Linked DNA regions of Callithrix jacchus. The protein of the gene in region 3 purifies or fractionates together with the protein of the main gene of each other region. This does not show direct contact. Links are inferred from orthologs where the notes say so. Each region holds a gene or a part of one and is shown on either strand. Other genes may lie near its edges.

The links.
Region 1: the proteins of MTOR (region 3) and SQSTM1 purify together in Homo sapiens (affinity purification with western blotting; 4 studies listed by BioGRID, with this or other methods). This does not show direct contact. The link is inferred for Callithrix jacchus from reciprocal best matches to the Homo sapiens genes MTOR and SQSTM1.
Region 2: the proteins of MTOR (region 3) and FBXW7 purify together in Homo sapiens (affinity purification with western blotting; 9 studies listed by BioGRID and IntAct, with this or other methods). This does not show direct contact. The link is inferred for Callithrix jacchus from reciprocal best matches to the Homo sapiens genes MTOR and FBXW7.
Region 4: the proteins of MTOR (region 3) and AKT1S1 purify together in Homo sapiens (affinity purification with western blotting; 8 studies listed by BioGRID and IntAct, with this or other methods). This does not show direct contact. The link is inferred for Callithrix jacchus from reciprocal best matches to the Homo sapiens genes MTOR and AKT1S1.

What each region holds. Positions count from the first base shown.
Region 1 is NC_133503.1:71,806,493-71,813,247, forward strand, and holds the end of SQSTM1 (sequestosome-1), read right to left. Parts: intron 6,093-6,755; exon of another isoform or gene 5,970-6,092; intron 5,031-5,969; exon of another isoform or gene 4,911-5,030; coding exon 4,699-4,910; intron 4,383-4,698; coding exon 4,187-4,382; intron 3,274-4,186; coding exon 3,116-3,273; 3' UTR 2,424-3,115; downstream 1-2,423. UniProt on the Homo sapiens protein: Molecular adapter required for selective macroautophagy (aggrephagy) by acting as a bridge between polyubiquitinated proteins and autophagosomes.
Region 2 is NC_133504.1:44,160,590-44,169,001, forward strand, and holds the start of FBXW7 (F-box/WD repeat-containing protein 7), read left to right. Parts: upstream 1-2,692; 5' UTR 2,693-3,686; exon of another isoform or gene 3,687-3,777; 5' UTR 3,778-3,853; intron 3,854-8,412. UniProt on the Homo sapiens protein: Substrate recognition component of a SCF (SKP1-CUL1-F-box protein) E3 ubiquitin-protein ligase complex which mediates the ubiquitination and subsequent proteasomal degradation of target proteins.
Region 3 is NC_133508.1:49,126,210-49,134,020, forward strand, and holds part of MTOR (serine/threonine-protein kinase mTOR), read right to left. Parts: intron 5,112-7,811; 5' UTR 5,071-5,111; coding exon 4,909-5,070; intron 3,950-4,908; coding exon 3,841-3,949; intron 2,681-3,840; coding exon 2,448-2,680; intron 1,562-2,447; coding exon 1,361-1,561; intron 1-1,360. UniProt on the Homo sapiens protein: Serine/threonine protein kinase which is a central regulator of cellular metabolism, growth and survival in response to hormones, growth factors, nutrients, energy and stress signals.
Region 4 is NC_133523.1:43,646,090-43,653,436, reverse strand, and holds part of AKT1S1 (proline-rich AKT1 substrate 1), read left to right. Parts: 5' UTR 1-441; coding exon of another isoform or gene 442-494; exon of another isoform or gene 495-2,207; intron 2,208-2,996; 5' UTR 2,997-3,077; coding exon 3,078-3,130; intron 3,131-3,445; exon of another isoform or gene 3,446-3,593; intron 3,594-4,033; coding exon 4,034-4,419; intron 4,420-5,582; coding exon 5,583-5,660; intron 5,661-5,746; coding exon 5,747-5,916; intron 5,917-7,338; coding exon 7,339-7,347. UniProt on the Homo sapiens protein: Negative regulator of the mechanistic target of rapamycin complex 1 (mTORC1), an evolutionarily conserved central nutrient sensor that stimulates anabolic reactions and macromolecule biosynthesis to promote cellular biomass generation and growth.

The DNA.
Region 1 (6,755 bases), on a different chromosome or scaffold from region 3:
GAGGTTACAGTGAGTTGAGATCACTCCAGGCTGGGTGACAGAAAAAAAAAATTGTAGAGTCATGGTCTCACTATGTTGTCCAGGCTTGTCTCAAACTCCTGGGCTCAAGTAGTCTTCCCACTTCCCAAAGTGCTGGGATTACAGGTGTGAGCCACTGCACCTGGCCCAGTTGTCTTGTTCTTTAAGCTTCCAATCCAGCAGGCCCCACCGCATATCCAGCGCTAGAGTGCAGGGTTTGCTTTGCCTGTCACAGGAGCCAGGGCACAAATAAGGGCACTGCAGTTGGGAGTCCACTGGGCTTCAGTCACTGCCCCCACCCCCATGTCACCAAGGTCAGACATGGGTGACCTCACACCACGCACAGAGCACTGGCTCATGGCAAGAGGCAGAGTTCAAACTTTATTGCTGCCAACTAGTTTTGTGACCATGGGTTAAGTTTGTGGCCTTGAATCTCCAAATCCCAGAAGAATGATCAGAGTCCACTACATGTCAGTCCCTAGGCTGCACGTTTTAATGGTATCATTGTGTTTTATGCTCCATCAAGCCTGTTGTTTTGTTTTAAAGGTGAGGAACTGAGACTTGCAGTTTTTGTGCGGTCACAGCAAGTTCAGTAGCAAAGCCAACATCAAGTGTCAATCAGGGCCACAGAGCCTCTTCCATACTGCCTTGGTGGCAGTGCAGCAGGGACCTACTCTTATCATTGCTTTCACATCCCTTTGTAAGCAATACAACCCATCTTTTTTTTGAGACGGAGTCTTGTTCTGTTGCCCAAGCTGGAGTCCAATGGCACAATCTTGGCTCACTGCAACTTCTGCATCCCGAGTTCAAGTGATTCTCCTGCATCACCCTCCCAAGTAGCTGATATTACAGGTGCATGCCACCATGTCCAGCTAATTTTTGTATTTTTAGTAGAGATAGGGTTTCACCATGCTAGGTTGGTCTCGAACTCCTGGCCTCAAGTGATGTGCCTGCCTTGGCCTCCCAAAGTGCTGGGATTCAGGCATGAGTCACTGCTCCCAGCCTACAACCTGACTTTTTTTTTTTTTTTGAGACAGAGTCTTGCTCTGTCACCCAGGCTGGAGTGTAATGGTATGATCTCAGCTCACTGCAACCTCAGCCTCCTAGGTTCAAATGATACTGCCTCAGCCTCCCAAGTAGCCGAGATTACAGGCACATGCCATCACGCCTGGCTAATTTTTATATTCTTATTTGAGATAGGGTTTTGCCATGTTGGCCAGGTTGGTCTCAAACTCCTGGTCTCAAGTGATCCACCTGCCTCGACCTCCCAAAGTGTTGGGATTACAGGCATGAGCCACCATACCCAGCCTACACCCCAACTTTCAGTACATCTTTGGTTCCTGGGGTGAGCGAAGCCAGGCCCCAGCACTTGGTGCTGCCACCACTGCAGCTGCAGAACCTGGCAGGCTCTGAAGAGCCACTCCCAGGTGGGAAGTGGTAGGATGGAGCCAGCCCACCCCTTTCCGGACGTCTCTACACCCTCCCTGCTCAAACCTCCTTTTTAAGTACTGTTGACTTGATTCTAAGATTGCCAGGAAATAGATCACCTGATGACATGAAAATGTCATTTTTGGAAAGCCTGGTCATGCACTTTAGCAGAAGATTTGGGGTGAGGTAGAAGGGATTTATTTTGTCTTGCTAACCCTCAGAATCAAAGCCTGTCCCCAGCCCGACAGCTTCCAGCACAAAGTGTCAGAACCATAGGCCCAGCCAGGGTCCAGGCATGGCAGGCGATTTTGCTGGGCCCTGGCATTGTTATTACAAATGGAGGGCATGGCCATCTTCTCTTTCAGGGACAGGCTGGCCTGACATGGAAGGTGAAACAAGGCAGCAGCCCTTGCCTCTGGGAGAACAATGCAGAGTGCAGCATCAGGGAGCTGAGGAGTCCTGGGCAGGTTACAGCTACATCCTCTAAATGGGCACAATTTGTCCTGTCACCTAGAAACAGTTCACATGTGGACAGAGAGCAGCCAAGGCCTCTGCAGAGAAACCCCAGGCCAGCTGGGCCAGCACAGGCTAAGCAAGGGACCCCCAGGGCACAGACTTCAAAGGAAGGCCTCAGCAGGCCCACAGCTGCTGCCCAGCTTCCTCAAGCCACACACACCCTCACATCTGGGCCTGAGAGGCCCTGCAGGAAGACCTCATGGGATGCAAGGACTTGTCAGGCAGAGGGTGGGCCCTTGGTCCAAGAGGCACAGAATCCCCAATCCACGAGACTATGTGACCTCTTTACAACTGGGGAAGACTTTGATGATGATCTGTGATCTAAGACTGGCAGGTTATTAATCGAGATACACTTGTTAGGAGGGATAGGGTTCCCCAAAGGCACTTTTAAACATACTATGTAAGAACCACCAACAATAAAATTACTGTCAAACAGATCATTTCTCTCTATGCAAATGTCATTGGTTAAAGTGCTGATACCATTTAATTAGATTGTTAACAAATATAACAGGATAGCTACAAAGAGATCTTACTGGTGGTTTGGAAATGAGGGAACTACAGTGGTGAAGAGACCAGGAGGCAGCTCTCAGTGACTGCAGATGCCCTTCATGAGCTTTCTCAGTCCCTGCAGGAAGCCCACAGCACTGGCTGCCACTGCCTGCGCCAAGACAGCCCCCTCCCTTGCTTACCCCCAGACAACACCTAGGCTTACTTTATCTAGAATCAGAGAGTACCAGGTCTCTAACAGAAAAATCAACTAAATGTCAGGGACCTATGAGTCATGGAAAAAAAAAAAAAAAAAAGAGTGGAAGGCCATTAGTCAAGCTATGTGCTGGGCTGCTAATGCAGCCCCTGCATGGGGGCGGTCAGGAGCACACTGCAGTGAGCCTCAGGTCTCGCAGGCCCAGCACCGCTGCAAGGAGCCAGGGAACCCGGAGGCCGGTCTTGTTTCTCAGACATCAGTGCACACACATGAGGACCCTACCCTCATATCACTTGTTTTGCTGCTTCCTAAATGGCTTCTTGCACCTCAATCCCTGATCCTGGAAGAAGGCAGAGAAACTGGCCCATACAGAGACCTGCAGTTCTACAGTAGCTTAACATAACTATGACACACAAGGTGGGGGACAACAGAAGAGGTGGGCAAAAGCAGTCACAACGGTGGAGGATGCTTCGAATACTGGATGGTGTCCAGAGCTGCCCCGATGTCATAATTCTTGGTCTGCAGGAGCCTGGTGAGCCAGCCACCTTCGTCAGAGAAGCCCATGGACAGCATCTGGGAGAGGGACTCAATCAGCCGTGGGTCTGCCTCTGCCAAAACAGTAAGGAAGCCATGAGGAATGGCTCTGAGCCCCCTGAGTGACCCAAAACACACAGCCTCCTGCCTTGGCCAACTGGGACCAGGTCTGCCAGTGGACAAGCCTGCCCAGAGCTCTGGCCCAGGCCACAGTGGACCTGCTTTCTCTGTAAAGGGCCAGTCTTTTTCACACTGCTCAACTCTGCCACTGTGACACAAGGCAGCCAGGTGGTATGTAAACAAAACTATCAATGGACACTGAAATATGCATTTCATCTAACTGTCACATTATTTGATTTAAAAATATAAGAAATACTCTTGGCGCATCAGCCATAGCTCACCATCCCTTCCCCTAAGGTGGAGAAGACACACACCAGCAGCCCATGGCAGGCGGTGCACATAGCCCTTGGTTTACCCACGGCTGCCATGTGACAATGAGTCTCAGCTGCGTGTCAGCTGTCCCCCCACCCTACCCTCACTGCCTTCTACACCACCCACTTCAGTGGTGGCTTCTGCCTGGCTATCGGGATCTCGGCTATGACCCCCACTCTCAGGCCAGCCCTCCCTGAGGAGACACTGAAGAGTCTGAGCCCAAGGTGAGTAGTGGGGACACACCCAGTGCTGCCCCAACTCTGTGTCACACCTGCCTTAATTCCAGGTCTGCATGTTAAGTTTTAGAAACTTCTACAGTTAATATTCCTTGCTCTGGAGTTTGCTTCAAGAAAAAAATTTTTAGAACTACATTAGCAGAATTTACTCGCTGTTGCTCAGTGTAGACCTAAGAGGACTCCTAACCTCCCTAGCCTACAGACAAGCCCCAAAGTGGAGAACATCCCATCCTTATGTTTGTGTCGCTGAAATCAGAAGGGGACAGGATGCTCTGAAGGGAAAGGTAGGAATGAATACAAAGCCTCTTGGTTCACTTGCCTGGTGGCAGATGCGGGTATAAGGCAGCTTCCTTCAGCCCTGTGGGTCCCTCCTGGGAGGGATCCAAAGAGCTTGGCCCTTCAGATTCTGGCATCTGTAGGGACTGAAGTTCACCTGTAGATGGGTCCACTTCTTTTGAAGACAAATGGGTCCAGTCATCATCTCCTCCTGAACAGTTATCAGATTCCATCTGTTCCTGGAACAAAACGCACCATGAGCACACAGGAGACATTCCCTACAGGCCAAGCCTGACATGACACCAACTCCTGGCATGTGTTTAAAGCTGCAGGGGGCTACAGGGAATAGTGAGTCACTCTCAAAGACCAAGTAACTACAAAATTCTAGCAGGTTCCCAAAGGACTTTAATGCCACAGACATCACTACAGGAACAGCAGCAGCTCCCTTGGATTTTATAAGTGGGGCTGCATAGGTGCTGAGGATGAGGCAGAGGTGCAGGCCACAAATCACTAGGCTGGCCACAGTCCCAGGTGGCGGGAGGGGCACAAGCTTGCCTCAGGGTGCCCCTCGGACTCCAAGGCAATCTTTCTCATCTGCTCCGCCAGAGACTGCGTGGCGCCCTCAACGTTCCCACGGGGCTTGCTGGGCTCAGAGCAGCAGCTGCTTGACTGCAAGCTGCTCTTCTCTGTGCTGAAACACTCTGGAGAAACAGGGGTCAGGCGGCTTCTTTTCCCTCCATGCTCCACATCAATATCAACTTCAATGCCTAGAGGCCAAGGAGGAAAGAAAAAACTGTGAAGTTCCCCGAAGGATGCACCTGCAGGCAGGAGCTTGGCATGTGGGGACTGCAGACTCACAAAGATCTCACATTCAGTCCCCACAACAGGTAAAGGTCTGGATGGTGGCACTCAGCATGTGGATACAGGTGCTAGGTTCTCCTATTGAGCTTGACCCTAGAGTCACATAGCCAGTATGGGACCAGCCAAGATACAAACCCTTGAGTCAGAGGCTCTTCCCAGTATCCCAGCTCCAAATCTCTTGTGGCTTCTGGAAACTCTGTGTGCCTATGATACTGGACCTTTCTCTTTCTCCAATCCACTAAAACATGAACCTCAGCTAACATCTAAGGTCAGCTTCAGAGCTAGGAAGTCCAAAGAGACCTTATTTTTCCTAACCATGCAGGACATGGGCTACACTGCAGGTAGGGCCAGGCCCTAAGTACAGGGGGAGCCAATGCTACATGTGGCAGGCACCTCCAGCCAGTGATGGAAGGCTGTGTGTCTCATGATACTTGCACACAGAGGCTTTGTGTGATGACACGTACACGCACCTAAACGCTAGGGCTCTGCTCAGAGAGGTGGACAGGCCATGCAGTCAAGGCGTAGGGCCCAAGGTTGGCAGCACAGGGAGCCTGCACACCTCCAGGCTCACATAACTCACCAGGGACAGAGGGAGGAATCACAATATTTTTAAAATTACATGTGTCAAAAGTCTCCATACCCACAGCTTAGAGTCACCAGTTGCCAGAGGCTGTGATGCATATTCCCTGCTCCCATTCCACTCCCCAAAGCCTCCCTGGGCTCTTTCAGCTCATGCTACTCTTGCCTACTGATAGAGTTCACATCTATGCACTTCTTACTCTAGACCAGTATCTGCCTCCCCTTCCACTACCCTTTCTAAGACTCAATTTTTTGTTAAAACAACGTTCAGTGTTTCAGTTAGTACCTCTGTCTTAATGTTATTTGCTGGGTCAATTAGCAGACTATTTCCTTGTATAGCTTTTTGTTTTCTTATCACTAATGATGCCTTCTCTCTTTTTTTTTAGACAGTCTCACTCTGTTGCCCAGGCTGGAGTGCAATGGCACGAACTCAACCACTGCAGCCTCTGCCTCCTGGATTTAAGCAATTCTCCTGCCTCGGCCTCCTGAGTACCTGGGACTACAGGCATGTGCCACCACATGCGGCTAATTTTTCGTATTTTTAGTAGGGATGGGGTTTCACCATGTTAGCCAGGATGGTCTTGATTTCCTGATCTTGTGATCCGCCTGCCTTGGCCTCCCAAAGTGCTGGGATTACAGCATGAGCCACCACACCTGGCCTTCTTTGAGATGAAGTCTCGCTCTGTTGCCTGGGCTGAAATGCAGTGGCACAATCTCGGCTCAATGCAACCTCCACCTACCAGGTTCAAGCAATTCTCCTGCCTCAGCGTCCTATGTAGCTGAGATTACAGGTGCCCGCCACGACACCCAGCTAAGTTTTATATTTTTAGCAGAGATGGGGTTTCACCATGTTGGCCAGGCTGGTGTTGAACTCCTGACCTCAGGTAATCTGCCCATCTTGGCCTCCCAAAGTACTTGGACTACAGGCATGAGCCATTGCGCCCAGCCTGCCTTCTCTTTTCATTTGCTAACTCTCCCCATGTTCTCCCACAGCATCTCCATAGTTTTCTACAGGGGTGAAGTGGATCAGAGGCCCCACTGGTTCTGGTGTTTTCCTTAGAGAATGCCCCTTGGTGTGCAGCCTCCTATTCCAGCCAGGACTGGCAGCTCTCTGGGCAGAGGCTCTGTTGTGATGCTGTGACCACCTTTACTTTCACCCTGTGTCCTATTAG
Region 2 (8,412 bases), on a different chromosome or scaffold from region 3:
ATTTAGCTTACACAATCTTTGACAGTAAAACCCACTGATGTGGAATAACAAAACACTGATTGGTTTCTCATTAGAGTTCACTTTCAAGTGTAAAGGTCAAAAACCGTGTTATGTTTTAACACAGTATGTAAATCTTTATCATAAATTGATGAACCAGGGAAAGAACTATTAGCTAAAACTTCAGATTTTTTGGAACTTTGAATTAACTAGCTATTTCTCCTCTGGATTAATAAGCATACAAGGAACTAAAGAGATTCAGACCAAGTTGGAAATTGTGTGAACTTCCTTCTCTCCAGTCTCCAGTTGCAGCTGTTTCCTCCAGTTATCAAGCTGGGTGTTGAGGTGGGTATCTAGCCTAGTAAGCTTAGAGTGCTGTTATTAAATACTTTCTAAGTAGGTGGCTCAGGGCTTTCCTGAGTGCCATTCTGTTCTACAGCACTGAGGCTGTAAGGGGGAGCCACGGACAATGAAAACAGATCAGGCTGCCGAAAAACTCTATGTGGAACACACTTAACTGGAGGTGTTCTCTGCTGGGCTGCAGAACTCTGATGTTTCCACTCTTTTCCGTCAAAGCCCACAAAGCTTAAACTCTCTGAGGTGCTTAGCTTCACAAAATCCCCTAAATCTGTGTGTTTTACTCCTTTAATTTCCACCATTCCCCTGCTGTAATATAGGAAGAGGGGGGAAAACAAAAAATCTTTATATGGTAGCCATGTGAGACCATTACTTTTTGGTCTGATTAACTGTGAGTCTCATTTGGAAGGATGTAGCAGGGGATTGGTCATGTAAAGACAGAAAGATCCAGGGTAATTTAAGCAGGACTTTTTTTTTTTTTTTGAGACAGAGCCTTGCTCTGTCACCCAGCCTGGAGTGCAGTGGTGAGATCTCGGCTCACCGCAACCTCCGCCTCCTAGGTTCAGGTGATTCTCCTGCCTCCGGAGTAGCTGGTGTGATCTGCCCGCCTCCGCCACCGCCTCCCAAAGTGCTGGGATTACAGGCATGAGCCACCGCGCCCGGCCTTAAGCAGGATGTTTAACCTGGCTCTTGCAACTTCAGGTCAAGGGCAGTAAGGTCAGATGCTAAGTCTGTGAGACTCTCCTTGGTTTTGCCACATCCTCCTTTGCCCCTCCCACCACCTTTCCTGTAGCATTTTAATCAACAGGAGCCCTTGGATTTACCCAGTTAAAATATTCCTTAGTTTACCGTTTGCAGATGGTGGTGGCAGTAGTGGCAGAAACCCAGAGCTTCCCAAATTTGTTTATAATACACTTGCTCCTATCTCACCCCTCCTCGAGGTGGAAATACTTGTAATATCCATTACTACTGTTTTCAGAGGAGGTGGAATGTACTAGGGTCCAGCGACATAATTGTGAAATTTGCTTTCATTATTGTTGCTGCTTTAATGTCTTTCTGATACGATTGACCATTCTCATGCTATTCACTCAAGACAGATTTCTCAGGATTCGGATCCTTTTATTAAAAATTTTTTTTCCTGGAGAACTACACTTTAAACTTCATGAGTTTTTACTTGACGTTCCTTTCCAGGATAACGTCTGTAGGAAAAGCTGCACTAATAGTAATAATATTTGTTTTAGAAAGAAAATAACCTTTGAGTCAGACCTGAAACACAGGCCAACATTTCTTGATGACACTGTACACTGATGAACCAAGACGAGAAGCTCTCGAAAGCTCCAAACCGTAAGAAAGAACGATTCGTAAAAGTGTGGCACTACTAATGAAATTCTTCCCTTGAGAGTCAAAAATCCTTCCACAATCTCCCGGATGATGGTTCCCTTCCAATCCTCCCTCCCCGCCGCCCTAAAAATCTGCCCGAGGATGGGTTCCTTCCCCTGCCCAGCATTTCATCTCCTTTTCCACTGAAGACTCAGGTTGTGACTCTGTACTCAGGCCGCACCCCTGTTTCCTTTCATAGCTAGGGGGAGGGGAGGAATGTATTACAACTCATTTTTACAATGCACTGCAGTTTGAAAAGCGCTTGCACTTCCACCATATCCTATGAGCTTCGCGAGTGCCACGTGAGGAGGCATTCATTCATTCATTCATTCATCAAACATTTGCTCTGCCCGACCACACGTTATCCAGCGCTGAGTCTCACCCCACGCCACGGGAAGGGTGGGGCGCTCTCTCCCTGGGGCAGGTGCAGTGGATCAGGCCGTGGGGTAACTCCTCGATCAGTCCGGCTTTTCGAGGGCCTGTTTGGAGCCAAATGCCTCACCTTCGGGTGGTGCGCGCAGTTGCCTGAAGGCGCGGCCTGGGCCTCCTACTTCCTCCCAAAGGAGCAGTCCCACCTGCCCCGCAGGAAACCGCTACAGAGCAAGCTCTCCGGGCCGCCCTCGGGTCAGGGGTAAGATCGGGCGGCAGCTTAGGCTTGTCTCGGCTCCTCCCCTTCCTCTCTTCAGTTCTGACGCGGCCGTAGAGGCTGCAGCAGCGGCGGCGGCGGCTGCAAGTCCCGCGGCCCGAGGCGCACCCACCCGCTCGCCTATCCCCACTTCCTCTTCCCTTGGAGCGTCATCAGAGCGCGCCAGAGGCGCCCAGGGCGGGGTGGCTGGACTAGGAAAAAAGGCCCGCGGAGGAAGCCTCAGAGCGGAAAGAAGAGGGAGGGGGAGGAGAGCGGTTGCTAGGTGACTTGCGTCATCTGCAGGCGCCGCTCTCCTCCCGCCCCTCTCTCTCTAGAGTGAGGCGAGAGCCCCGCACAGAGCGAGGGAGACAGCGAACTGAGCTCCGGGCGCTGCCGCCGCCGCCGCCGCCGCCGCCGCCGAGAGTAAGAGCGAAGGAGCATCCGAGAGACTCAGCCCCTCTGCACTGGCCGCCGCTGAGACCTTCGCCCTCACCTGGGTCAGCGGGAGCCGCGGCCGCACACCTCTCCCCCCCTCACCTTCCCGGCCGGCAGCAGAGGCTGCACACGCCGGAGCCGGAGCCGGAGCCGGAGCCGGAGCCGGAGCCCGAGCCCGAGCCCGAGCCCGAGCCCGAGCCCGAGCCGGAGCCGGCGGCTTGGGGGGCAGGGAGGCGGCTACCGCGGGCCGGGACTGGGTAGCTGCTCCGCGGTGAGAGAACGCTGAGGAGGCGCCGGAGCTTCTGCCTCGTCCCGGGGCGTGGGGCGTGGGACCCCCAAGGTGTAGGGAGGGGGGTCCCAGCCGCAGCGACACATGCAGGAGCCGGGAGCGGGGGCGGCGCCGAGCGGAGCCGGCAGGGTCCCCCGCCTCGCCGCCGCCTCGGCCACCCGCCCGGGTCCGTAGCATCTTGCCCCGGAGTGTATGAGCCGGGGCCCCAACCAAGCTCTGCAACCACCCCCCCGGCCGGGGGGACTGGGACCCCGATGTGAAGCAGCGGCTGGGGCGGCGGAGAGAGCGGGACCGACGCCGCCGTCCTTTCCTCACCTTCCCCCTCCCCTCAGCCCCCTTCGGGGGTCTTCTCCCTTGGCCAGTCGCCGGCCCCCCGGCTCCTTGGCTGGACTCCGGGAGGAGTTCTTAGAGCCCCCCTCCCCCGCCCCAGCCCCCAGGGCGGCGGGGCCGGGGGGGATCCGGGGGGCCGGCCACAGCCTCCGCCCAGAGGAAACTTTATAAAAACAAAATCCAGAGCCTCCCAAACGTGACTGTCCTGGGAGAAGTGGCCCTGGACGGGCAGGAGTCGCAGCCTGAAAAGACCCAGGAAGAGGAAAAGAGGAGGTAAGCGGGGCCGCCGCCTCCTCGCCCCTGGCAGCACGGAAGAGACCCGAGTGGCCGCCTGGTTTAGCGACACGAGCCGCTTCTTCCTCAGGACCGCGCTGCCGCCTCAGTCCGAAGGAGGAAGGGAACCAGCCCACTTTCTCGGCGCCGCGGCTCTTCTCTAAAGTGTGAGTGGCCCCGTGAGAGGGAATTGAGGGGAGAAAGTGGGAGGATGCCGGCGCTTCCTCCTGGAGTTTTGCTGATGTTCCCAGGAGTGTTGGGAGTCACAAGAGGGTCTAGCTTTATTCACAGAAGGGAGAAGGTGTTAGGGAGGCCTGTATTTCGTAACTTTTTAACTCTGTACGAGTAATGCAAGTATGCAGGTTTCTCTTGGAGGAGTTCCTTCTTCAGAGTGAATACTCGCACCTTTCTGGCCAGTAATTGGCAAAGGGAAATTGAGGAAGCCAGAGGATGTGTGCGCACAGAGGCCATCTGTATCTGTAACCTTTTCCTGGTACTGTGGGTGTGTACAGTGTTCTTTTTGTTTCTGGGGTACTCTTATATAGGACCCCCGAAAGCAAAATTCCCTTTTTAAAAAAAAAAATGAAAAAACAGTCTTGGGAGATTTTCATTTAGTACCTATTGATACAGGAGTTAATCTTCTCAGTTCCTGGGTCTGTGTGTCAGGAGACACTGTAACAGATTTCACTTAGGAACTTGATTTCTTAGGAATCACAGCTTATCTGGGGAAGAGCATTTATCACATTAATCATTTTATAAAAGTGATTTTTTTCCCCTTCACCAAGTTTTTATTTTTTTTGGAGTAACATCTTAAATGACAACACTTTTTAATTTTGTTTGAGGTTTTGCTATTTTGTATTGTCTTTATTTCTGTATCAATTTAGGATACACTTTTGATATTTAATTCTTTCAGGAATGACTTTTTCCTTCCATTGTTTTAAAGTTGAAGTCTATAAAACCTTTGACTTGCATTTTAGTAATGTTCTCAAAGTACCAAATTAAAGTTTCATGGAAGTAATTAACATATCATATACAGTCCTTAAGGGTTAAACATAGAGTAGAATTTTATGTAAGCAGGCATAGACAGTACTATAGTGAGAATTGTGGTCCGTCTAGACAACTGTGTGGGCTCCTTCTGTCTGAAGCCACTGCTGAGAGTTGCTTTGTGGTAATGAATGTAAGCCTGGGGTTATCAGTCTATCTGAAGTTCTCCATTCAGGATCTTGATTAAATTTATTTAAAACTCAAACTTAACAATGTTTGGTCCTATTCTTTTAAAGTAATGAGTTCTGCAAGTTTATTAGCCTCTGTATTATGTGACAATTCATTTATAAATTCCATAGGCAATTTATTTATATATTCCATACCTGTGTCCATAAATTTTCAGGACACAGCCAGAGTTTGTGTTTCGAGAAATACCAGAACAAGCCTCAGTTCATCTTTCCTTACTTTTATAGTGTTTTATTATTTCTACCATCAGTTTCTCCAACTCTTGTCTTAGAATAATGTTTCTTATTTCTTTGACCACTTTTTCCTCCTCTGGAACTTCTCCCACTGTACTGTTTTTCTTTAGTTGCCTTACTATGTTTTGGTAAGGAACCTTAAATTCTGTCTTTTAAGTGTGTACTGACATGAAAATATTGAATAGTGGATGTAATGTTAGACTTAGAATCAGAGTCATGTATTTTGTTTTTCACAAAGATATGATAAAGAGAAATGTAGTCATGTAGAACCTGTATTTTGAGAAGGAGGGGAGGACAAACTAAGAAACAAACTGTAGTTTGAATGTAGGTTGCATTCTGTCAAAGTTGCTCACTAACTTTTGGACTACTTGTATTGCTTTAACTATAGATTGGTTAAAAATTTTGGTAATTTTATTTTATGTTATTTTGAGATGGAGTCTCTCTCTGTCACCCAGGCTCGAGTGCAGTGGTGCAGTCTTGGCTAACTGCAACCTCCACCTCCCAGGTTCAAGCGATTCTCCTGCCTCAGCGACCCCAGTAGCTGGAACTACAGGCGTACGCTACCATGTCTGGCTAGTGTTTTTGTATTTTTAGTGGAGATGGGGTTTCACCATGTCAGTCAGGCTGGTCTCAAACTCCTGACTTTTTTTTTGAGATGGTGTTTCGCTCTTGTTACCCAGGTTGGAGTACAATGGCGTGATCTCGGCTCACCGCAACCTCCGCCTCCTGGGTTCAGGCAATTCTCCTGCCTCAGCTTCCTGTGTAGCTGGGATTACAGGCACGCGCCACCATGCCAAGCTAATTTTTTGTATTTTTAATAGAGACGGGGTTTCAACATGTTGACCAGGATGGTCTCGATCTGTTGACCTCGTGATCCACCCGCCTTGGCCTCCCAAAGTGCTGGGATTACAGGCGTGAGCTATCCCGCCCGGCCACAAACTCCAGACTTTAAATGATACACCCACCTCGGCCTCCCAAAGTGTTGGGATTACAGGTGTGAGCCACTGTGCCCAGCCAGAATTTATTACATGTTTGAGTAGAAATGACAAAGTATTTGGGGTCCCTGTCTTTGAGATGCTTTGACTTGTAGGTGGTGGAGACAATCAAACACAAATTGCACGAAGCTACTGGGGAGATAGACCAATATTTAAGATCACACTAGATGTTAGATATTATATGGCACTTTATAGCTGTTAATGTATTTTTACATTTTTCACTAGTGAAATGTTGCTTTTGTGTAGAACTAATTGAAGTGTTAAAGCAATATCTGGAAACATTTCTTTTAGGAAGAAAAGAGCAAGTGGAGACAAAATATTTAAGACTTTTAGAATGGGGAAGCATAAGGGACAGATAAAATTATGAAGTTGGTCTGAAGGGAATACAGATGGAGGTTGTTGAGTAGTGTTAGGGTCAGTTGTGTTTGTGTAGACACATGATTACAGTCAGAGAAGCAATTGAGAAGAGTGTTCCTGAGAGAGTAGTTTCAGATGACTGGGGAGAAATTACATTTTAGGCAAAGCCATTGTGCCTGGATTGGGTTTTTTTTTTTTTTTTTCTCTAGGAACCAACATTTTTACGTCATGGCTATTGAGCTATACAGAAGGAGTGAAAAAGAAGATGCTTAGTGTGTTGCTGGTAGCTTCTTACAAAAAAGAGTTTGGAAATGGGACAGTAAACTTTGTTATGGATGTTAAATTGTAGGGCAACAGTTGGGTACTGGTGTAGTTTCCAGACAGCAAGATAGTTCAGCAGGTAATACACTGAAAATGTAAAGTTGGAATTATTTTCGATATATTTAGGTTTTCCAGAGTACTGATGGAAAGTGAAGAGCTGAAAAATGGGTGTTTTTAGTTGGGAGTGGAAAATCTGAATGAATGAGACACTCCCTAAAATAGATGTTTTAAACGTGGGTAAAAGTTGAAGTTGAAAAGGAATGAGCAGGCTTTAAACATGGCCACCAGTTTAGTCCCAGGGTATATTATTCTGTATTTTTGAAACAAGCTAAAAGTTTTCTTTTTCTTTTTTCTTTTTAAATAGGGTATATAGGTCTCTTGAGATTTTAAGAAGAGTATATATAATTTCATTGTTAAAGAACTTAGAAGGACAGTTTTGTTTTCTCAAATTCATATTTTTAAAGTTCACTCTGCATTATTATCCTAAGTTTAGTCTTAATATGACGAAGTGAGGCTAAAAATAGCCAGCAGAGAAGGCTGCTTCCCTTGTTTGCAGTTGGTGTGTGTCTTTGTGTCCCATACAATGGAGGGGATATCCCTGTGTAGGCACAGCAGTGCTGAACATGCTTTTTTTCTTTTAACCTTTTTATTAAAAAACAAAAAGCAACTTGGCACTTAAAAAAATGTAGACATTTCTGTGGCTTGCATTTAGTATTAACTTTAACGAGGATTAAGGATTGTGAGGAAGGAAATACAGATTCACACTTTTTTTGTGTTTCTCATTTGGAATTCTGCGCTTTCCCGCTAGCTTCTCTGACTTCTTAAAAGAGTGATTATTCAAATGACAGAAACTCTGGGGAAGAGATATTTAGACAGGGAGATAGGTCTAAGGTGATTCTAGGGTGAAGATATAGGGATTGGATTACATGCCATATGGAGGCCTTCTCTCTTCACCTTCTACTTTCCACAAGATTTTTTATGCAGTTGAAGCCATGTTCAGATGAATTTTAAAAGGCAGCTGTTTATAGTTAACATTATTTGCCACTAAGGACAGTGGGAAGCTTGGGACTCTGATATTAGGGAGTGGTAACTTCATGTACCTTAGCAACTTTTGGATTAATAGGGAATTAGCCTTAAGGATGTGTGTATGTGTGTTAGCATCCACCAGATGACCTCCATAGGCCATGCATAGGCTCATTTCGTTGTACTTTGGAGATGGGTCTTGGAGAAGTCTTCTGATGCCTTATATCTCATTGTGTAGAGGAGGAGTTGGCAAACTTGTTTTGTAAAGGGCCAGTTAGAAAATACTTTAGGTTTTATGGGCCACATGATATATCACAACTTTCAATTCTGTTCTCATAGTGTGAAAACGGCTGTAGACAACACTGAAGTGAATGAATGTTTGCTGTGCTCCAATTGGCCCTTAGGCCGAGGTTATGGACCCCTCGTATAGACAACTGCCAAGTCCACCAACAAACAGTATCAGCTTTATTTCACTACAAAGCCAGGACTGGCTATTTTTGGTGGTCTCTGTTTTCTAGATGAGATGTTTTTCTCTGAGCTCATTTAAAATGATTCTGCATAAAACAC
Region 3 (7,811 bases):
TTGGCCAGGTGCAGGGGCTCACACCTGTAATCCCAGCACTTTGGGAGGTCGATACAGGCGGATCATGGAGATCAAGATCATCCTGGCTAAGACGGTGAAATCCTGTTTCTATTAAAAAAAAAAATTAGCCAGGTATGGTGGTGGGCACCTGTAGTCCCAGCTACTCGGGAGCTTGAGGCAGGAGGATCACTTGAACCCGGGAGGCGGAGGTTGCAGTGAGCCGAGATTGTACCACTGCACTCCAGCCTGGGTGACAGAGTGAGACTTCATCTCAAAAAAAAAAAAAGAATTTAAGTGACTTGTCCAAGATCACACAGCAAACTCAAGACTGGAACCCAGGCCTCTCAACCCATGTTCAGAGCTCTATTTCTAACGTAAGACTTACTGATGAGTTCCCTCTGCAGAAGCAATCAGCACAGGCTTCATGATACTAGAGCAAAGAGAACTGGCACTTTCTAAATTAGTATCATTTGTATTTCACTGATTTTGAGACACCAATTTTTCCATATTTTAACACCTCTGAAAAGAGATGTCTTTTGTTGCTGTTGTTGTTGTTTTTTTTTTTGAGATGGAGTTTCGCTCTTGTTACCCATGCTGGAGTGCAATGGTGCAAGAGATGTCTTTTTTTAAATTTTTTTTTGAGACAGAGTCTCACTCTGTTGCCAAGGCTGGAGTGCAGTGGCGTGATCACGACTACTGCAGCCTTGACCTCTTCAGCTCAAGCAATTCTCCTGCCTCAGCTTCCCAAATAGCCGGGGCCACAGTGTGCAACACCATGCCCACCTAATATATATATATTTATATATTTTTGTAGAGACAGGGTCCCATATGTTGCCCAGGCTGGTCTCAAACTCCTGAGCTCAAGCAATCCTCCTGCCTTGGCCTCCCAAAGTGCTGGAATTACAGGCGTGATCACCTTAGGTCAGGAAATCGAGACAGGTGGATCACCTTAGGTCAGGAAATCGAGAGCAGCCTGGCCAACATGGCGAAACCCTGTCTGTATCAAAAATACAAAAATTATCTGGGCATGGTGGTGCATGCCTATAGTCCTAGCTGTTCGAGAGGCTGAGGTGCCAGAGGTTGAACACGAGAGGCAGAGGTTGCAGTGAGCCAAGATTGCGCCACTACACTCCAGCCTGGGCAACAGAGCAAAAAAAAAAATTCATTTGAGACCAAAACAAAAGTGATTCTTGCTCCAATATCACACAGCAAATCCAAGACTGGAACCCAGGTCTCCCAACACATGTCCAGAGCTCTTTTTCTAACATAAGACTGGCAAAGCCTGTGGCTGCCCTTTAGGCCAGGTGATTCTCTATGTAGATGTGCTTTGCTAAAGGCTGGAATGGGGCGATCTCCTCACCCGGTACCACTGAGGCTTCTGCATCTCCTTTGGCTCACGCTGGGTGGTAAGAATCAGACAGGCACGAAGGGCGGCTACAGCTCCCTCACGGATGGCCTGTTTGGGGTCCCACACGGCCACAAAAATGTTGTCAAAGAAGGGCTGCACTTGCTGGAAGAAGAAGGTAGGGACGCTGATGGCCAGCTCACGGAGAACCAGGACCTGGAGAAAAAGGCAAACTGAGAACTCTCATCGGTACCAGAGTTGTGTTCTCTCGGGTGCAGTCTCTTATCATCTTAGAGTCATACACTAGCAACAGGGAAGGCTTGCTCACTCTTCTAGCTAGGAAATTCTGGAGACAGAGGAATGGAAGCAAAACTGAGGAAACACCTCAGTGTTCACTATCCTATGTTGTTTACAAACAAAAACTGCTAGTAATGTTTGAACATAAGCTCTGGAAGCGCAGATGTGTTTTATGTTTTCTATACCACTATACCAACAGCCTAGAACACTACCTGGAATGCAGTAGGTATGTAATAATTATTTGTTGAATGGATGATCCTGTTTAATGTTTAATCATATTCTTTTTATTTGACAGAGGAAGAAACTGAAGGTCAAAAGCTGCCCTAGGTTACAGAGTTAGGAAGCTGGAGAGCCAAGACTTGAGCCAGGGTCCAAGTGTGTGTCCCTCTCCTGATACCATGCTCTCTCCTCACTGTACTGCCTCCTCTAAAGGGGAGCAGACTGGAAAGTATGCAGCTGATGCTTCCGATTCCCATCACACCACTACTAGATTTTTTTCTCTCTCTCTTTTTTTTTTTTTTTTTTTAATAGAGATGGGATTTCACCATGCTGGCCAGGCTGGTCTCAAATCTCTGGCCTCAAGTTGATCCGCCTGCCTCCGCCTCCCAAAGTACTGGGATTACAGGCGTAAGCCACCACACCCAGCAATTCTCTCTTAAGGACAGACTCTACCACATCTCACAGCCTGGAATCCTAGCCTTCTAAACAGCCTTTTTCAGGGATAAGCCTCAAAACGAAGCAAAGGATCCCACCATGACACCATCGTTCCCCAGGCCTGGCTGTGCTCCTCCCTGCAGGCACTCACAGCTGCGTGTCTCCGGCCCTCATTGCGGTCAGCACCCAGCCATTCCAGGGCTCGCTTCACCTCAAATTCCACATATTCGGCAGTGAAAGTGTCCCCTGCCATGGCAAGGCGGCCAATGGCCTTGGATGCCATTTCCATGACAACTGGGTCATTGGAGGGGAGGAGGTTCCGAAGATAGTTGGCAAATCTGCCAATTCGGGTGGCATTCCCACCTTCCACTCCTATGAGGCTGGCTAGAAAAAGAGAGGAAGGCAAAAGGTGATGACAGGGCCTATGCTGGCCAAAAAAGCATACAGCCTAAACTAAAAGCTGGCAAGTGATCCCTCCATTCTACTTTGAGTACATTTCTAGATGGCAAGAACGCAGACAATTTCATTTTAAGCCAGATGTTTAATACTTCTGCCAGAAATACTTACATAAAGCAAAATAATCTCAGGCTAGTATAGGTAACTGCTCCCTCCCCCAAAAAATAGAGAAAACAACTGGGACTGAATAATAATTCACAGGACTGATGACCAGTCCTTAGAAGTTAAAAATAGCCTGCCTGGCTGGGTGCAGTGACTCATGCCTGTAATCCCAGCACTTTGGGAGGCCGAGGCGGGTGGATCACGTGAGGTCAGGAGTTCAGGACCAGCCTGACCAACATGATGAAACCCCATCTCTACTAAAAATACAAACATTAGCTGGTCATGATGGCAGATGCCTGTAATCCCAGCTACTCATGAGGCTGAGGCATGAGAATCATTTGAAACCAGGAGGCCAAAGTTGCAGTGAGCCAAGATTGCACTACTGCACTTCAGACTGAGTGACAGAGTGAGACGCCATCTCAAAAAAAAAAAAGATGACCTGCCTTTTATTAACTATACTGATTCCACTTTTCCATCTGTGAGCCCCACTATCAGAAACCCTGCTCTACTGAGGAACCAGTACCTGTAAAAGGCACCATGAAGGAGTGGAAAGAAAGCTGGGTTCTCCAGGCATGGTAGCACATGCCTACAGTCCCAGCTACTCAGGAGGCTGAGGCAGGAGAATCACTTGAACCCAGGAGGCAGAGGTTGCAGTGAGCCGAGATCGCGCCACTGCACTCCAGCCTGGGCAACAGAGTGAGGGCAAAAAAAAAAAAAAAAAAAAAAAAAAAAACCAAAAAGAAAGCTGGCTTCTAGTCTCAGCTCTGGTAAACTGTCTGAAAAGTCACTCAGTGGTTCTGAGACTCCACTTCCACACCTAAAAATACATTTGCCTGCAGCCCAGGAATGCTGCTAGAATTAAAAGCCACGGGCTTCTTAAATTTCATTAAGCAAATATGAACTAGCATCCAATAAGTGCAGACACAGGGTGCAGTGGACACAAAGATGAGTGTGTTGTTTTTTGTGACCAGAGACTCTGTCCTTACCTATGGCCAAGATGCCACCTTTCCTCTCATTGGCATCTGAGCTGGAAACCAATTCAAAAATGTGATGGTTCAGCTGGTCATAGAAGCGAGTAGACTCCTCTTGACTCATCTGCAAAAGAAGATGTAATTACAACAATTTCTAATAATTCTCTGACTGTGGTGGTGGGGGTGGCCTGGCATCTAAAGATTAGCTCCTGAGAGGCAGGTAGTGTAGTTCAAACCAAAGAAGACAAGTTACTGCAATTTCTGTAAGAATACATCGCAGAACACCTGAACTTGCAATCAGCTGATTATTTAACAAATACTTAATCGGTATCTACTCTGTGGCAGAAAATGTCCTGTCCTAGGTTCTTTCTAGTACCAGGGATACAAGGATAAAAACAAGACAGTTTCTGACTTCAAGTCTGGTCTCTATTTAGAAAGCCCCTGGGGCCAGGCACAGTGACTCATGCCTGTAATCCCAGCACTTTGGGAGGCTGAGGAGGGTGGATCATCTTAGGTCAGGAGTTCGAGACCAGCCTGGCTGACATGGAGAAACACTGTCTCTACTAAAAATACAAAAATTAGCCGGGCATAGTGGCACGTGCCTGTAATCCCAGCTACTCAGGAGGCTGAGGCAGAAGAATTGGTTAAAGCTGGGAGGCAGAGGTTGCGGTGAGCTGACATCGCACCATTACACTCAAGCCTGGGCAACAAGAGTAAAACTCTGTCTGAAAGAAAAAAGAAGAAATCTCCTAGCTCTCAACTCTCCAAACCCATCCCAATCACTGTTAACAGACAGGAAGCATTGAGGGTATGGTATGTGCTTAGGTAAAAAGAAAAAGTTAAAAGAAACAGCTAAGTCTATTCTAGCCCCTCAAATGTAACCACAAACAAGAAAAATGCCACAGAAATGTGCAAGTGCTGCAAACGAACCTGCCTTTTTTATGGATGTAAGAGGTTGGGGACCTTTCTAAAATAATCTCTATTTTCCAAATCTTCACTTAGCTATCCAAAAAATCTACACCAGTGATGGTACATTTAGCGCAAACATCCCACAATGGCTGGCCCCAAATCACAGAAGCCCACCTCTCGGAGCTCCATGGTGACGTAGTGCTGGAGCTCCTTGGCAGCTTTGGCCCTGGTCTCCTCATTCCGGCTCTTCAAGCCGCTGGCAAACTGCTGCAGAACGCTCACATTGCTAGATATGGTGGCAGTGGTGGTGGCGGCGGCAGGTCCAGTTCCAAGCATCTTGCCCTGAGGTTCCTTAGAGAGAAGTTTCCTTTAATATTCTGGGTAAGAAAGTATGGCGATAAATTTATGCATGGCCCTGATAACTCAACACAGATCTCCCCCTAGTCCTTGTCAGGTAGGGATTCTAGAAATGTTGAGAGATCTTTTGGAGGAAGATTTAGAAAGCCTAGATTCAGTCAACAATGACTGATGTATAAAAGAGGCAGTGTAGTGGGGAGAGTCAAATTGTGGGCTATGGAGCTAGCCTACTTGGATTTGAATCCTTTTGTTATATACCTTGAGCACTTTGGGAAGCTGAGTTGGGAGGATCACCTGAAGTCAGGAGTTCGAGACCAGCCTAGCCAACCTGGTGAAACCTCATCTCCACCAAAAATACAAAAATTAGCTGGGTGTGGTGGCATGCACCTGTAATCCTAGCTACTCAGGAGGCTGAGGCAGGAGAATAACCTGAACCTGGGAGGCAGAGATTGCAGTCAGCCGAGATCCCGCCAGTACACTGTCTCAAAACAAAAACAAAAACAAAAAACAACAAAAATAAGGTCACATACCTTGAGAAAGGTATGTGAGACTCAAAATGTCTCAGTTTCTTCAACTACAATAGGAAGACAATAGTACCTAATTCATGGGTTGATGTGAAGACTAAATCAGTTAAACATGTTAAAAAGTGTTTAAGACAGTATAGGGCATATACTGAGTTCTTAATACTTGTTAACTATTATTATTGCTACTACTCCTATGTACATGACACAGTGCCAGGTAACAAATGTGGGGAGGTAGCGAAAGAATTAAAAATGACTAAGACTGCCCCTTTCCTCAAGTTCAGTCTAAAAAGGGAGATTATTATTCTACAGAGGCACTGTCTCATGGAAACACAGGCCAGGCACAGTGGCTCATGCCTGTTATCCCCGTACTTTGGGAGGCTGAGGCAGGCAGATCACCCAAGGTCAGGAGTTCAAGACCAGCCTGGGCAACATGGTGAAACCCCATCTCTATAAAAAATACAAAATTAGCTGGTGTGGCAGTGCATGCCTGTAATCCCAGCTACTTGAGAGGCTGAGGCAGGAGAACTGCTTAAACTCGGGAGGCAGAGGTTGCAGTGCACTGAGATTACACCATTGCACTCCAGCCTGGGCAACAAGAGCAAAACTCCATCTCAACAAAAAAAAAAAGAAAGAAAAAGGAAATAAAATGATCCACAAATGTAATATTAAAGCTGCTGGTAGCCATATTTCCAAAAGTGAAAAAAACAGGTGAAATTAATTACTTAAACCAACATATCCAAATATCATTTCAACATGTTACCAATATTTTTTAAAACTGATATAGTGTGCATTTTTTTTGTAGTGAGTCTTCAAAATCGCATGTGCACTCTACACTTAATGTCAATTTGAACTAGTTACTTTTTTTTTTTGAGGAGTCTTGCTTTGTCACCCATGCTGGAGTGCAGTGGCGTGATCTCAGCTCACTGCAACCTCCACCTCCCTAGTTCAAATGATTCTCCTGCCTCAGCCTCCTGAGTAGCTGGGACTACAGGTGCCCACCATCAGGCCCCACTAATTTTTTTGTATTTTTAGTAGAGATGGGGTTTTACCATGTTGGCCAGGCTGGACTCAAATTCCTGACCTCAGGTGATCCACCCACCTTGGCCTCCCAAGTACTGGGATTACAGGTATGAGCCACCATGCCCAGCCTGGACTAGTCACATTTGAAGTGCTCTACAGCCACATGTGGCTGATAATTCTTGTATTGAACAATGCAATTCTATAGAAGACTAGCACTTCAAATGTAAGCCAAAAGAAACCAATTAGTTCCTGAGATCATTCCCTCATTCCTCAATCATGTACTGTTCCTTCCCTCAATCAGCTTACAATTCTGGGGGAAATACAAAATCAGCCAACTACAACACAGTGGCCTTAACGGGGCTCAGCCTACACTGCTCTGAAGTAACATACACCCATCCTAAGTATGTCCGGCTTATACTACAAAACCATTTCTAAAAATTCTTATTTTTGAACGGATTTGTAAGATACCGAGGAAAAAACGGAATAAGTGGTTTTGAAAAGCTTCCAAATACTCCAGTGCCAAGAAAAAGACTGCAGAAGAAAATGTCACTCTTTAGAAGAGAGGAAACTTAAGAATCCCTAAGAAAACTACTCCAGTTGTGTGTGTGTGTGTGTGTGTGTGTGTGTGTGTGTAAGGGGGGAAGGAGGCTGGCATGGGATTTCTATTCTCAGGAAAGAACCAGTGCATCTTTATATGGTCTAAGGCCCACAGGCCATCTGCTCCAGGCTGAATACAATTAAACTTAGGATATTTGAAGTCAAATATCCTAAGGGTCTTGATAGGCCTTAAGGGAATTAAAAGTTGGATGGGGGAAACAGGGATGAGGGTGGCGGAGAGGGAGAGAGGATGTACACCAACGATGTAACCGAGCTCAGTTACCGGGACTGGGTCCCTGAGAGGTCTCCACGGTGGAGAACAAGGGGCTGACACTGACGCTGGTGTTCCCTGGGGCAGAGATCCACAATTTCTGTGGGTGGCTCAGAAGAAAGGGTGGCTGTGACGGGCAAAAGACCCGAAGGGCAGTACCAGAGCTGATGGACCGACCTTCGGGCGCCTGAGACGTACCGTGGGACGAAGGGTCCGGGGGTCTTTTGGGGGTCCCGGGGAGGTGGGTGTTGCCTCGAGGGGTGGGAATCAAGGCCTTAGACGGTGCCCAGGTCTCGGGGCCAGCAGTG
Region 4 (7,347 bases), on a different chromosome or scaffold from region 3:
AAATGCTGTCGTGTTGGATCTTTGCCAGCGTTGGTGCTGAATGTGGGAGCAGGTTGGAGGGAGAGAGAACCCATATACACTATGGGCTGATTAAGCCCGGTCGGCTGCCATGTTGTTAACGGGCACCGATTTCCTCCACTTTTGTCGGAGAAGTTTATTGTGGGTGAGGGATGTCAGGTCACTTGCCTTCGTTTACAGTATTCATGAATGAGCGTGTGAGAGCGGCCATTATTGTTAGGGGCAAATGGAACTACTCCAGGCGCGAAAACTAAAGCCTTTCTTTCGCCATTTTTCTTATGGGCACGCTGCTCTCGCGATTGCCCACTAGTTCGGATGAAGCCCCTGTGGCCGCCATCTTGATCTCGGGCGGCCCCGATAAGGGAGGCGGAGTATGCGAAGAGGAGGCGAGGTAACTCCACGGACGTGACGCAAGGCGCCGCCATGTCTTTTGAGGGCGGCGACGGCGCCGGGCCGGCCATGCTGGCTACGGGCACGTGAGTGGAGGCGGCGTTGTGAACCGCGGTGTGGGGAGGATTTGGCCGTCCAGAGGCAGCGGGGCGCTGGGAGGGCGAGCGGCTCACGGGAGGGGTATGGCCTGCATAGATCAGAGGGGAGAGGTTGGCCAGCGACCCTTTGCAGAGCGCTGGAAGGGGATCGCCCGTGGGAATCGTCCTGACTGACCCGAGGCAAATCGTAGACAGCCTCACTTTGCGATGTCCAGAACCCCTGGGATCCCTACTTGGGCCGTGGACCATGTCCACGGGGTCGGGGGATGGCTCGGGGGGCCTCGGGGCGCCCCCTCACCCGTCCAAAGGCGGGACTTCCGGTCCTGGCCTCCGCCTGGGCGGGATTTCCTGTTTTTTTCCTCGTCCTGTGGATCCTCCCTCGACCCCGGGTGAGGTTGGGAGGTCTCTGGGCGCCCGAACCTGGCCCCAGACACTCACCCCACCCACGGCTACCGCGTGCACTCTAGGGTTCCTCACATCTTGGGGTGAGGGGCACTAAAATTTCGACGAGCGGGGGTGTTTACACCCCTCTCCTTAACACTCTACATCGTGCCCCCTCCCTCTTGTGGGGAACACGTCCCACCTTCCTCTCATCTCTACCTGATCTTAAACGAGACTCGTCCATCGGGGCGGGTTCTTCCTCCAACTCTCAGCTCCTTGGAGGAGCCCGGACCTCCTCTAGAAGCTGAAGGGTAAGGAGTACCCCCAGGTCTTGGTTATTCTCCTGTCGGGGAACAGACTGCAGGGTGTCCCTGGACCTCGGCAGAAAGGCCTGTGGAAATCGCCCTGTCCTTTTTGCTCATGTCTCCTGAGTTGGGGGAACCCTCACAACCCACTCACCCCATTTCACTCTCTTCAGTCTCGTGGCTACTCCAAGATTGAGTACAGGGAGGGAGTTTCATCCTGACATTCTCTTCCCGGACCCCCCGCTCCCCCCGCTCCCCCCTCTTCTCATGTCATTAGGGGCTGAGGGCGCGTGGAAATGAGAGCCCCAGGCCTAGCACGGGCAGGCAGTTGACTCTGGACTAGCCACTTCCTTGCTTTGAGCCTCAGTTTCCTCCTTCATCAGGTGGGAAGGACATGGGGGTGTGTTGGAGACACTGGGTACCCCCCGGTTCAGTGGGGTTTTGGGGCTGAGCAGTCATCAGTTTCAGCTCCACTTGTGCCCTGTGTAGCTTGTGCTTTCTGGCCAGTGTCGTAAGTTCTGAGCCTCACTTTGCCATCTACATTAGGAGATCTGTTTTGGTTTTTTGTTTTTTTGAGACGGAGTCTTGCTCTGTCGCCGAGGCTTAGAATGCAGTGGTGCCATCTTGGCTCACTGCAACCTCCTTCTCCCGGGTTCAAGCGATACTTCTGCCACAGCCTCCCAAGTAGCTGGGACTACAGGTGCGCTCCACCACACCCAGCTAATTTTTGTATTTTTAGTAGACACCAGGTTTCAGCATATTGGTCAGGCTGGTCTTGAACTTCTGACCTTATGATCCACCAGCCTCAGTCTCTCAAAGTGCTGGGATTACAGGTGCGAGCCACAGTGCCTGGCCAACATCTGTCCTCCTAAAGGCAGGTAGGATGGCGATCAGAATTTGGAACAGGCTCTGGATTAGATCGTCGGAGTCCAGATCCCAGCCCTCCCTCTTCCAGTTGTGGGGCCCTTCAAGGTGCTGACTGTCCCTGGGCCTGAGTTCGCGACTGCAAAGTGGGGTGAGCTGTAGCTATGGCTCCTGCCTCATAGCTTAGGTAAAAGGGTGGGATGAGAAGGTTGAGCCCGTCTTTGGTCCTGGCATGGCTTCTGGGAAGTGCTGGATAAACCTCTTCCTTCCCTCGGGGCTTTGGACTGAGTGAGTCAGATGCGGGGTGGGGGGGGAATGCCAGATGTGGAATCCCAGCACTGAGTAGCTGCTCAGTAAACACGATCGTGAGTCATAAAGGGCCTGCAAGTTTCATTCCAACCCGGGACTCCCTGCTCCCTTAACCCTGGCATGCTGGACCACAGCTCTGCCTGAATCCCTGCAGTGATGGTGTGCTCACTGCCTCCCCAAGGAGCCTCTTCCAAAGCCCAACAGCTCTGGCTCAGCTACTCTGGTTAAAGGGAAAGAAAGTGAGGCACAGAGAGGGCTAGTGAATGAGCAGTCCAAGGTCACACAGCAGGTTTGAGACAGGGCAAGGACCCTTGCCCTCGATCATCTCACCGGGTAAGGAGATGCCCCCTGCTTTGTCTGCTTGGGGCCAACCTGTCCTGTGAACACAAATCCCTTATTTCAGGGGAATTCACAGTCTGATGCAGGAGGCAGCGGGGTACAGCTGTCACAAGTTCAGGTGACATGAGCGCTCATGGAGGAAGCCCAGGGCATCGGGTGGGCTCCTGAAGTCATCTGCTGCACCCTGGGTGATCAGGGACGACAGAGGACCTGCCAGAGCAGTCTTGTAGAAAAAGCCACAGGGATTTCCCCGCACAGAGCAATCCCAGCACCATTTCTTCCCCTTGTTCAGCCCTGACTCTCTGAGGCCTCAGTCGTGGAACCAGCCAATTCCCTCTGGAAGGAAGAGTGCTGGGGAGGTGGCCACTCAGACATGGTGGGACCCCCCCCAGGGAGGAAACTGGCTGGATCTAGGGGTGAGTGCAGGTAGGTGGGGAACGGAGCACGAGTGATCCAGGGTTTGGGGGGTCCGTGTTGTCTGAAGGCTGTGGAGGCAGGATGGCCCAGGAGCCAGGGATGGCTAGAACACACGGGGCCTCCAGGGCCAGGCTGAGGGCCAGGGACCCTGTCCTGAGGACTCTGGCGAGGAGTAGCAGGAGCTCCAGGTGCAGAAGGACCCCCCTGGGACTTGGGCACCACGCTGTGGATGAGACGTGCAAGCTCCACGTGGAATTCCACATTTTCCAAAAACCATGACGAAAGAGTCAAAGCAGATAATTTTTTTTTTTTTTTTTTTAATAGAGACGGGATCTCAACATGTTGCCCAGGCTGATCTCGAACTCCTGGGCTCAGTGATCCACCTGCCGTGGCCTCCCAAGGTGCTGAGATTGCAGGTGTGAGCCACCGTGCCTGTCTGTTCTGCTTTTTTGTACTCAGCCTTCAGAATCAGGTACGGGCTTGCCTCTCAGCATCCTCTCTGCTGCGACTCCCCACTCACATGTGGCTGGCGGCTCCCACAGAGGCCAGGGCAGGGCCAAAGGGCAAGGAGCGGGGTGGCAGGAGGAATGGGGCTGGGGCTGATGGCTCGCTGGGGCCTGGGACTGCGAGGGAGGGCTGGATGGTGAGAATCTGGAGAGTAGCAGGTTTGGGGAGGACACGCAGCACCCCTGGGACAAGGTGGGTGGAGGGGGTGAGTGCCATCCAGGGAACAGGCAGACACCCTGGGTGGGTGGTGGAGGGAGTGAGTGCCATCCAGGGAATAGGCAGATACCCTGGGTGGGTGGGTGGGTGGGTGGAGGGGGTGAGTGCCATCCAGGGAACAGGCGGACACCCTGGGTGGGTGGTGGAGGCAGCCAAGCCTCAGCCCCCTCTGTCCTGCTCTGGCCGCAGGGCGCGGATGGCATCGGGGCGTCCCGAGGAGCTGTGGGAGGCCGTGGTGGGGGCCGCTGAACGCTTCCGGGCCCGGACTGGCACGGAGCTGGTGCTGCTGACTGCAGCCCCACCGCCACCACCCCGCCCGGGTCCCTGTGCCTATGCTGCCCATGGCCGAGGAGCACTGGCTGAGGCGGCGCGCCGCTGCCTCCACGACATCGCGCTGGCCCACAGGGCTGCTGCCGCCGCCCGGCCTCCTGCGCCCCCACCAGCACCGCAGTCACCCGACCCCACACCCAGCCTGCCCCAGCCTGCCCTGGCAAGGGAGGACAACGAGGAGGATGAGGATGAGCCCACAGAGACAGAGACCTCCGGGGAGCGACTGGACGTCGGTGATGACGGAGGTGAGAGGGCGTGCACAGGGGCAGGGGCAGCCCAGCGTTTGACAAGGTACCCGCTGGAGGCTTTCCTGGGGTCTGGGGTGGTGGGACCTGCTTAGTCCTGAGTACTTCCATCGAGATGCGGTCTCAGGACCCCAGAGCCAGACAGGCTTGCCTGGGACTTGCTGTGTGATCTGAAGCCAATCCCTTCCCCGCTCTGAGCCTTACTGGTCCTGGAGCCAGCTCTGTGCTAGAAGTGGTAGCCACAGGGACACAGAGCAGACTTTGGCCCTTTTCAAGGGGCTTCCAGTCTAGCCAAGGAATTGGAGTCCTGATGAGGGTCGGGGGGTTCTGGAGCAGGGCATAAGTAGAACCAGAGTCATTTCCACGATGACTGGAAGTCAAGATAGGAGTGGAAGAGCTGTCAGGGATGCAGCAGACATCTGAGGAAGCCCCCCATTCAGCTGTTGTGGGGGGCATCTGGGGGTTGAATACTTCCAGAGGTTGGGTTGTAACACTAGGGCTTTGAGGAGTGAGTAGGAGTTTGATCAGTAACTAGGAGGTCCTTTTTTGTTATTACTTTTTTTTTGTCTTTTTGTTTTTTTCCTTTTTGTGGAGAACGGGGTCTCACTATATTGCCCAGGCGGGTCTCGAACTCTTGGGCTCAAGCTATTCTTCCACCTCTGCCTCCCTAAGAGCTGGGATTACAGGCGTGAGCCACAGCGCTCGGCTGTAATTACTAATGGCTGGCCTCCTACCTGTTGTGGGAGAAAATCCACATGGGGGAGGGCAGGCATCCTGAGTTCAAATCCTGGTGGTGTCCCTTAGTAGCCATGGGACCTCCGACAAGTGACTTAACCCCTCTGGGCCTCCAGGTCTCCTTTGTCAACAGAGGTCACGGTCATCCCGTATTTCTCTCAGGCTGTATTTTCAGTCCCATCGTCCCGAACAGATCGTAGCGGTTTCCTGTTAGCTACGTCGTGTGTAGCCGAGAAGGTGACAGATGCATAGAGGGTGTGTTTCTGCCGATGACCAGGCAGGTGGCTAGGGGAAGGGTTTTCGAGGTGAAGGAAGTGGGTCTCAGCAGGGAGGCGGGGACCATGGTCGGGGCCGTGGCTGGGGAGGAGGGCACACGGAGCATGGCCAGGCGCCCACTGGCCCGGGCCTCTCACTCACACCATCCACAGGGCTCTTCGTGATGGATGAGGATGCCACCCTCCAGGACCTTCCCCCTTTCTGTGAGTCGGACCCCGAGAGCACAGATGGTGAGTGTCCTGGGTGGTCCCCTCCCTACCTGGAGGTGGGTGGCTGGCACAAAGACACAGACGCTGAAATTTACCCTCGCTTTCAGATGGCAGCCTGAGTGAGGAGACCCCCACTGGGCCCCCGACCTGCTCAGTCCCCCCAGCCTCAGCCCTGCCCACACAGCAGTATGCCAAGTCCCTGCCTGTGTCTGTGCCCGTCTGGGCCTTCAAGGAGAAGAGGACAGAGGCACGGTCATCGGATGAGGAGAATGGGCCGGTAAGGGGCAAATGGGGGGAGGTAGGGAGGGCAGCTGGAAGGGCTCTGAGCCACTTCCTCCAGGAAGCCCTCTGGCATGGATGCTACTTTCCACCCATAAGCTGACTGAATCCTCCCCTCAAACTCAAGAAGCAAGTTCTTGGGCCCAAGCCTTGCAGTTTTAACAACTGCGGCCTTACCGTGTGTCCTAGTGCCTTACAGAGAAGCCCTCTCCTTTCCAGGAGCGTCTTCATTTGTAGAACACTTGCTCTGGGCAAGGCACAGGCATTCCCTCTAGATGGGGAAACTGAAGCTTGGAGAGTTCAGATCACCTCCCATCCCCACCCTGCACATTCCCGGCTCTTTGCAGAATTTGTCCCACCCCCCGGTCTCGTTCATCCCTGTTTGAAGCTCCTGGGCTGGGCTAGCCTGGGTGGGTCCTCCTCACCCCTCACTGAGGCAGTAAGAGGACATGTGACTTCCCTGAGGGGCAGAGCTGGGACTGGAATCCAGCTGCCTTTCAGGAAGGAGCTGTGGGCTTTGAGGGAGGTGGCCTGGGTCCCCACAGTCCATGCTCTCAGACCTCAGTGTCCTCATGTGTAAACCAGCAGTCACAGTGGTCACGTCCTCCCTACCTCCTTCCTCCACGAGGCAGTGGGCGCTGAAGAGCAGGAACCAGGCCCGGTGCAGACAGGGTCTGCCTGCTGCTGCTGTCTGTGCTTGGGACGCACAGCAACACAGCTCATTGGATGCTCTGGCCTCCCCCTGGTCAGGTCCAGTTCCTGATCTGGGTCTCTGGGTCCCATCCTGCAAGGGAACAGGCCCAGCTCAGGTGTCGGGGCTGTAGTGGAGGCAGGACCAGGTGCTGGAGCTGCAGGCAGAATGGCAGGACCGCTCCTTGGTGGGGGCTGACACAGGGAGGGACGCTTTCTGTACAGCAGGGGCCACATGATACAGCAATAACAGCTGATTATCTCAGCCCTCACAGAGATCCTGCTGCCCACCCCATTTCTCAGAAGGGGAGACTGAGGCCTAGGGAAGCAAAACCTCTTGCTCCCAGCTAATTAGCAGCAGAGATCTGATTGGAACATGACTGAAACCCCAGCCCAGATCCTCAGACATGAGGCAGTGCACGCAGCCTTAATGGCCAGCAGACAACAGCACTTCCAGTGTGTAGGAAGCAATGTCCCAGGCCAAGAAGGGGAGGCGGGGGGGAAGGGCAGGAAGGCTTCCTGGAGGAGGTGTCTGAACCAGGTAAGAAGTGTTCCTACGCAGAGCAAGACGGGGAAGAGCACTGCTAGCAGTGGGCATCTCAGGGCACAAGTGGCCGGGGGGCGGGGACGTGCTAGGAGTGGGCTTGGAGCCAGGGTGCGCGCCCAGGCTGCGTGTGGGTGCAGGGGTGGCCATGCTGGCGCCGACCTCGCCCTGTTGCCGTCCCCGCAGCCCTCCTCT